2 linked regions of the Coturnix japonica genome follow. Each later gene encodes a partner of the first gene's protein in a complex. Links are inferred from orthologs where the notes say so. Each region holds a gene or a part of one and is shown in the gene's direction. Other genes may lie near its edges. The genes, in order: RPS6KA3 and BMF.

Region 1 (3,818 bases):
GAAAAGCATAGCTTGCCTGTTTGCTTTTCTGATGAACAGCAAAATATCTTTTTTTTAATTTGCATTTCTAAAAAAAGAAAATTAGTAGTAATAAGAAATATAATTTCCTAGTAATCCCTTTTGACCAAGAAAGTAATTCTTCCTTTACAAAGGAGCTGGTCCAGATGGAGTAGAAGAAATTAAGAGACATCCCTTCTTTTCCAAAATAGATTGGAATGTGAGTACCTAATTAAAAATAATAATAATAAACTTCTTAATTAAGAAGTATTTGTAGGTGTCATGAAACTTTTCTATTCACTCTGACTTACCTTTCTCTTTAGAAATTGTACAGAAGAGAAATTCATCCCCCTTTTAAACCTGCAACTGGCAGACCTGAAGATACGTTTTATTTTGATCCTGAATTCACAGCAAAAACTCCAAAAGGTAAAAAGAGAAGAATTCAACAATTTATGTATTTAAAAATTAGAAATAGTTTTCCTGTTGACTGTGTCTTGTTCTTGCAAGCTTTGCAGAGCTAAACAAATACTCAAAGAGAAATATTCCATATTTCATAAGGATTTTTGTAGTCTTGAGTGCTAATATAACATGGAGGGAGTATTGAGTTGTCCTATATAAAAATTGAAGTAATCCTCACCAACAAAGCATACGGATAAATTCAATTTTCCCATCTAAATCCCAAATAGTCACTGTTAATTTAAAGATGATTCATGTCCATCTCTTGAAAGTGATACCCTATGGTGTCATTTAATTTGTGGTAGTGTCTTTACATACTATGTATATGTTGAAATTTACTTCAGATTTTGGGGGATAAAGTTGCTGTTTGAGAGCAGTCTGATTCTGCATAGCTTGACAAAGACCCATTCAAAATATGATAGAAATTCTTGTCTCTATAAATTTAATGAGCTACCAAATTTATGAATTCTTTCTCCATAAATATAAATACACTGCTGTAGGGAAATATTTTCTGCACAGTACTGGTTTTGTATTATAAAACATTATCTAGCAGTAATACAATCTTTGAAGTATTTGGTTATCAATGGTGGCTATAATTAGGATGTGGAAATAATTCAGTACTTGTATTTCAGTACTGAAAAATACTTCATACAAATTGCAGTTTACGTACTTCATAGAATAAAGTTGTTTTGCTCTACAGTATAGTCCTAACTGCATCTCTTCATTTTAAAAAATTATGCTTTGTAAGTAGATGATATTTTTTTCAGATTCGCCTGGTATTCCACCTAGTGCTAATGCACATCAACTTTTTCGCGGATTTAGTTTTGTAGCTATTGCATCAGATGATGAAAGCCAGTCAATGCAGACAGTTGGAGTGCATTCAATTGTCCAGGTGAGTACATCAACATCAGAGGAGGGGGAAAAAGGGTCAGTTATGTAGTGTTACCCTCTCTTGGTGGAAGGGATGTTTCCTTTGTTGTAAAATGAGGCACTGTGACAGTGTCATTATCAGCTTTATACAATAAATGTAAGGATCAGATTACTTTATTCAAGCAAGGTCTTTGAAAGTGTAGGACCTTTTTCATTTCTGAGCATCCGTGAGTATGAACAGGCTTCAACCCATAAAGGAAAGCATTCTATCCTCCAAACTATAGCTACTCTTTAATATCAAGCCTTGATTGTATGATGAAGTGGAATATAGGCAGCTTCATCATTTTGTTTTACAGCCCAAAATATCGATTCCTATAGTACATGTAGGAAGCACTAGAATACAATTGCCTGGGTGTTGTGGACTGCTATTTATTTTAGGAATATATTCAACCTCTCCCAAACCAGTTTAAATTAAATGTAATAAGCTGTGACATTTTGTGGTTGTTTGTTTATCTTATAGGTCAGTGTTGCAGTATGCATAAGCTTTGGCTTCCTGCTGGTTTTAGAATGACTCCTGTAGTGTCTCCTACGTTAGTAATTGTGTGGTTGTTAATTTTAGTAGTCTAAAGCAGCTGCTATTTTTATACATTCTCTTACTTCCGGTGCTGCTTATTTTTGGACAGCAAAGCTTTGGCTGGGTGCAGTCTTGTGTGAAATAAGGAAGGGGGCTTCATGCTTGAATAGGGGAGAGCCATGCTTTGCCTCCTTGTAAGACTGTGGTCATTCTAAAGGCATGCACTGGGCAGTTTGCAGTCAGCAGGATGTAAGCAGATGCATCTACAGGAAAAAAAAAAAAAATTACTGAGGAAAACTAACTAGTGGCCTGAGCTGTGGTGGAAACTTCTCATTGATGTGTAGTAGGAACTAAATGACATGCTGTGTGATCAGATTTTTCTTATATTTTCACTGCAGGAATGTTTTGTAGCTGAGTAGCTTTTATTTCTTCATTCTTTTTACTCTGTCTGGAGTAGTTCTAATATGTTTGTCCACATTGCCCTTTTCACTTGTAATGAAATGTTGAATTTAAAGGGTTCGTAGATCCCCTTTTATTCTAAGAAGCTGTTTGATTTGGTATGCTTGTCAGAATGACTTCTGGTCCAGAAGTATTGCTAACAGTTACCAAAGCTTCTCTGTGCTCCTTCTTTCCCACATACTTTTGTGGATTATGTTCTTTTTCTTTGTATATGGCTTCCTTCTCTTGTAAAAGTCTCTCTCTAGTGCTTTTCCTCTGTGCCCCTCAACCACTTCCTCACTCATATTTCCTCTTTTCTCTGCAGCAGGATACCCAGATGGTTTCCTGCAAATGCTTTGCATCCTTTGCACAAATTCCTTATACCAGAAAGCCATTTCCTTCCCTTACAAAATTGGAACACTTCTCCTTCACGCTTTTAATTTCTGACAGGATTTTTAATTGTTGTACCATGAAATTTCCAGTTAGTCTAATCATACTGAATACCACCTGAAATTTGTAGCTGACATTTCACATGTAAAGAAAACATTCATCAATTTAGATGACAGAAATAATGATGCTTTTTTTTTATCGCTAACTGTAGCCCTCTGATCTTCTTTTGTCTGAGATTCTATCTATAAATAAATAGATCCATAAGCAGAAGAACGTCACGTTTTCAGTTTGGAAAGTGCAGTGAGCATCATTTATAATGTATAGAATTTATCTCATACTAGCATCAAACAGAAGGTAATGTCTATTGAAAACTCTTTGATCTAATATAGCTATCAGTTTAAAATTTGAAGCAAATCACTAGGAATTCAAAAACTTACTGTTAATATAAATACCAGTTTTTCATTTAGAATATTGATCAATTGATAATGTTATTTTGGTAGCAGTTGCACAGGAACAGCATCCAGTTTACTGATGGATATGAAGTAAAAGAAGATATTGGAGTTGGATCTTACTCTATCTGCAAGAGATGTGTTCATAAAGCTTCAAACATGGAATATGCTGTAAAGGTAACTACTTGGTCATAAAACAAAAAAGGGCCGTAAGTCTGTTTTTATTGTCTTTCTACATAACACTGTAGAATTGGATGGTTACTAAACAAAGATGTATATTAGCAGACTTGTAAAGTAGAGGGGGAAAAAAAAACTAATCCCATGGTGTGAAACAATTATTTTCTTGAATTGTTGAACAATTCATTACTTGCACATAGAATGCAAAGATGAATTCAGAATGTTTTCCCATATCCTTGCACTCAATTTCTCTACTGGAAAGTCTCCAAACTCAGTTTGGTAGTTATATACTTGTAACTATCCTCGTTCTAGCCAAGAACAGGTATTACTTCTGTTCTTGCAATTTAGAGTAAGTTCTTGAAATTGGAGGAAAAGCATTGCCATTAATTTTCTAAGCTGTAATATTTATTGTGTAGATTGCTTTGCTTTTCTGCTGCTTCCATTATAGCTTTTTCTCTTCAGAGAAT
Region 2 (3,818 bases), on another chromosome or scaffold:
CCAGTCAGGATGTTATGTTGCCTTGTGGAGTCACTGAAGAGCCCCGGAGACTCTTCTATGGTAAGAGCACTCCAACATCACCAGCTTCTCAGCAAGGAAACTGTCCCTCCAGCACTCCCCCAGTCAGGCAGTTTCTTTCGTTAGAGCTTTAACTTAAAAGACTTAAATTATTTTTGCTTTTTTCCTATTCCCTAAAGAGCGGCAACTTGTATTTTCTTACCCTTGCTTATTGCAGGAATTCAGCACTTGCTGGTTGCTTTTGCTGTACTTGATACGTCTACTTTTTTTTCTTTTTCACTTTATTCTGTCACTTTATTTTGCTGCCAGGCATTAAAATGTTCACCATCCGCCATAGCCTACCATTTACCTGCTTTTTTTTTTTTTTAAAAAAAAAAAACCTCTTGTGCTACTCATCCACATAAGAAAACCTCCTGAAAGTTTGCAATGAAGAGAAGAAAATGCAAAAAATTCCCACCTAATGGGACAGACTTTAGGCTCTTTACTGGAATTAAGCATGTTGAATAAGTAGCACTTTACTGGTAACTGATGGGACATCATTCAGTATTGTGTACTCAGTCCAACCTTAATTCAAGTCAGTCCCACTGAACACCCAAGAAAACAACTGAGAAAAGTCTGAAGGCATAGCACATACAGAAAACCTTAAAGGGGGACAACTTAAGGCAATGATGTTGGAAGAGATGTAAAACTGTCATTAAAGAAAAACGAACACCTCTGCACTCGTCTGAACCATAAACAAGCAGAAAGAACCAAGTTGAAGATCCAGTCATTTGATTAGGGGAAGCAACACAATGTTATGCTTAATTGTTATAAATCTAATTTAAGCTGAGCAAATTAAATCTGTACTGCATGCATATGGTGTATGTGGTCATTGCTTGGGCTTTAGAAACTGGACTTTAAAATGAGTCAAAAAATCAGGATTATGTGCAACTCTTTCTGTATGCCTGAAGTGTAATACTGAATAAAAGAACTACTCTTTGTGCTAGGAGAATGACTCTGCTGGTCTTTGTTTTGTAGGGAATGCTGGTTACCGCTTACATGTCCCTCCAGTTGGCTTTGCTTTGGATCCAAATCTCCAAGAAGAGCCTCAGGAAGGTCAGCGGGAGGCACGTACTGAGGTGCAGATTGCACGGAAATTGCAGTGCATTGCAGACCAGTTCCACCGGCTCCACATACAGCGGGTAGGGTGTTTCCAGAGGGGATGGTGGGGTCTTTCTTATCCAAGAGTGGTGCTCCAGAAGATTGGCTCCAGGCTTCAGCTAAGCAGGCTGTTGCCTAAGGCAGCCACGAGCTGCCAGTAGTGACAAAACAGCATGGTATACCTATGTATTTTGCTCATGCTAGATTGATGGATCACTGTAAAAGACTGGCAGGTAGGGGGAAGAGCATGTATAGAACTGCACTTATTGTCTGGGAGGGTAGCTGCTGTTGTCTGCTATTCTGGCTCTCCTGGTTCATCAGCAACAGGGTCACTGATGCTTTCCCTAGCATTTTACTTTTCTTCTCCGCTCTCCTTACCTCCATCATCACGTCTTCTGTGGTACAGCTGGTTGTCTGTGACTTGTGTCAGTTCCTCATTTTGGAGATGACAACAAGCCTAGAGTCTGTTTTGGCACTCCTTGTTGTCTAGGGATAGATGTCTCAAGTAATAGAGTGCACTATGATCATGCTGGACTTGCTAGCAGCTCCTCTGTGGGACAGTCCTAGCTGGTGTCTCAGATTTGTGACCAACTTCCTCACAACATAATAGAGCTGTAAAATGCCATCAGGTCTGAAAAACAGAATCTTGTTTTACTTTTCTTTAAAAAAAAAGAAAAGAAAAAAGAAAAAAAAGTACTTTGCTGTTTTTTAAAGAAACAAAAGCCATGTCCCTTAAAAATGTAGATCCTTTCTCCATTCTCCCTTCCTTCCCCTACTGAATGGTAAACAAGTAGACATCCCAGCCATGCAGAGATCGGTGGCCAGAGTTCGGCAGCACTTTACTACTTGTATGCAAGTCCAGCAGGGTGTTGCAGTTTGTATCCAACTGTGCATATGAAGAAGTTGACACTCTTGCTGACTTCAGAGAGTGACTTCAAAAGCTTATCTCATTCCAAATGTGTTGGTGTTGTTAACTTGAAGTCTGTTTCAATTCTTTTCAAAGGTAAGTGAGGAGCTCTGCCCTGATCAGAGGATGTGGCTTGTAGGAGGGCAAAGTTTTAGTTGTCTCTGTGATAAGAAAGAGGGAAACAGGACTCTTCTTAAGGGGATGTTAAAGCTGTAACAGGAAGATAGAAAGGTGAATTGGGCTATGAATGTCATTTTGCAAATCACAGAAAACGATGAACAACCTCAAGCTTTTTAGCATGTGTTGCTGGTTGAACGGGGTTTTCCCCAGCGACACCTTTTCATCGCAATAGCTATCTACAGCCAGATTGTCTCAGTAAAAGGAAGGCGAATGTCTCCAGAGTGGAGGAGCCCTGGAGTAAAGTGGTGGAACTGGTTGTAACTTGACCCCTTGCATCTCGGGGACTAAACTCATATCTATGCCTTGGAAACGCATCCAAGAATGCCCACCCAAAGCAGCGCTCTGAAGCTGCCCCTGCTCTGGCTTTTGCTGCCTTTGGCCGCGGGGAGCTGCCAGCCTCCTGCGCTGTACGCAGGGCTGCGGCTCGGGCTGCCCGGCCAGCCCCAGTGCGTGCCGGCCAAGCATGTGGGAGAGTTAGTAAACAAAGGCGTCCGCCTGCACTACCCAATCCTGCAGCCAGCGGAGGAGGAGCTCTGCCGTCTTTGTTTGGACTGGAAGAGCAACAAGTTGTAAAGGGGGGGAGCTGTTCAGCCATTTACGTTTGAAAACAAAACCGAAGAAATCCAGAAACGTAACCGAGGATGGAATAGTTCAGCCAGTGGTTCTCCACAGCCCGACCCTGGGACAGGCTTTGGCATTCGTATCTGCTGGGGGATTCTTTCTCGTTTGTCAGGGGAACTTCTTGCTGAGCCACATCGTAGTGTCTGAGGCACTGTTCCCCATGGAGTGTTTTGTTGACATGTCCAGTCCCCTCCAAGCCCTGCATGGAGGATTTCCTATGGCTTTTGGCATGGCTTCATGCAGCCCCTATGTCCTGTGTGCAGTGACTTTTTGCAGCCTGCCACTGAGGAACTGAACAGTCTGAATCTGGAGAGGCATGGACTGGCTTGACAATGTGTTGTGGGGCAGTCTGGGACATGGAAAACCAGGCTGTCATCTGGCTTGCTGCAAAACTGAACACAGATTTGGATGCCCCATTCCAACCTGTCTCAAAGTGCCAGTCATAATCAGCTTCCCAAAGTGATGTCTAGAATCAGATTTAGAAAACCACAGAGTTAGTCACACCACTGTGGTCTTGTGAAGTCCTGAGAAAGAGCATGTCTGGTTTTCAGCAAGCTGTGCCTCTTCTTGGGGACTATAAAACATCTTATCTGGGAACTTGTGAAAAGAAAAAAACATGCTCTCATTCAGCAGGAGTTAGGAGAGACTTTCAGTGTTGGAGTAATTCATGTGGCCAGCTCAAGAGTTGCCCTCACTTGGCTCTTGAGTTCTGTGAGACACTCCAGCAGTTCAGGTATAGCGCTCATGTTACTCCTGCAGCAGCAGAGCTGTGTTGACACAAAGGCTGTTGGTCGTTCCCTGGCTGTGAGAGGGAACTAAACAGGCAATTGCTGCTGAGGTTGACGTCACTGAGTTGTCATTGGACTCAGCTGCACGCACAATCTAACCCCATCCCACACTGGGAACCCGAGAGAGTCACTGTTATCTCTTCCCTGTGCTCTCTGGCTATGTG

What was found.
Region 2: the proteins of RPS6KA3 (region 1) and BMF are in contact, whole or in part, in a crystal structure (PDB 8R58), measured with the Homo sapiens proteins. The link is inferred for Coturnix japonica from reciprocal best matches to the Homo sapiens genes RPS6KA3 and BMF. Residues at the interface, in NP_004577.1 of Homo sapiens: Trp252, Phe259, Phe268, Leu281, Ala283, Lys284, Leu285, Gly286, Met287, Pro288, Leu299, Arg300, Phe303, Lys304, Arg305, Asn306, Asn309; in NP_001003940.1 of Homo sapiens: Glu8, Leu10, Glu11, Asp12, Asp13, Val14, Phe15, Gln16, Pro17.

What each region holds. Positions count from the first base shown.
Region 1 is NC_029516.1:105,990,220-105,994,037, reverse strand, and holds part of RPS6KA3 (ribosomal protein S6 kinase alpha-3), read left to right. Parts: intron 1-152; coding exon 153-217; intron 218-320; coding exon 321-423; intron 424-1,220; coding exon 1,221-1,345; intron 1,346-3,225; coding exon 3,226-3,351; intron 3,352-3,818. UniProt on the Homo sapiens protein: Serine/threonine-protein kinase that acts downstream of ERK (MAPK1/ERK2 and MAPK3/ERK1) signaling and mediates mitogenic and stress-induced activation of the transcription factors CREB1, ETV1/ER81 and NR4A1/NUR77, regulates translation through RPS6 and EIF4B phosphorylation, and mediates cellular proliferation, survival, and differentiation by modulating mTOR signaling and repressing pro-apoptotic function of BAD and DAPK1.
Region 2 is NC_029520.1:27,123,281-27,127,098, reverse strand, and holds part of BMF (bcl-2-modifying factor), read left to right. Parts: coding exon 1-60; intron 61-1,035; coding exon 1,036-1,199; intron 1,200-1,974; exon of another isoform or gene 1,975-2,275; intron 2,276-3,818. UniProt on the Homo sapiens protein: May play a role in apoptosis. Isoform 1 seems to be the main initiator.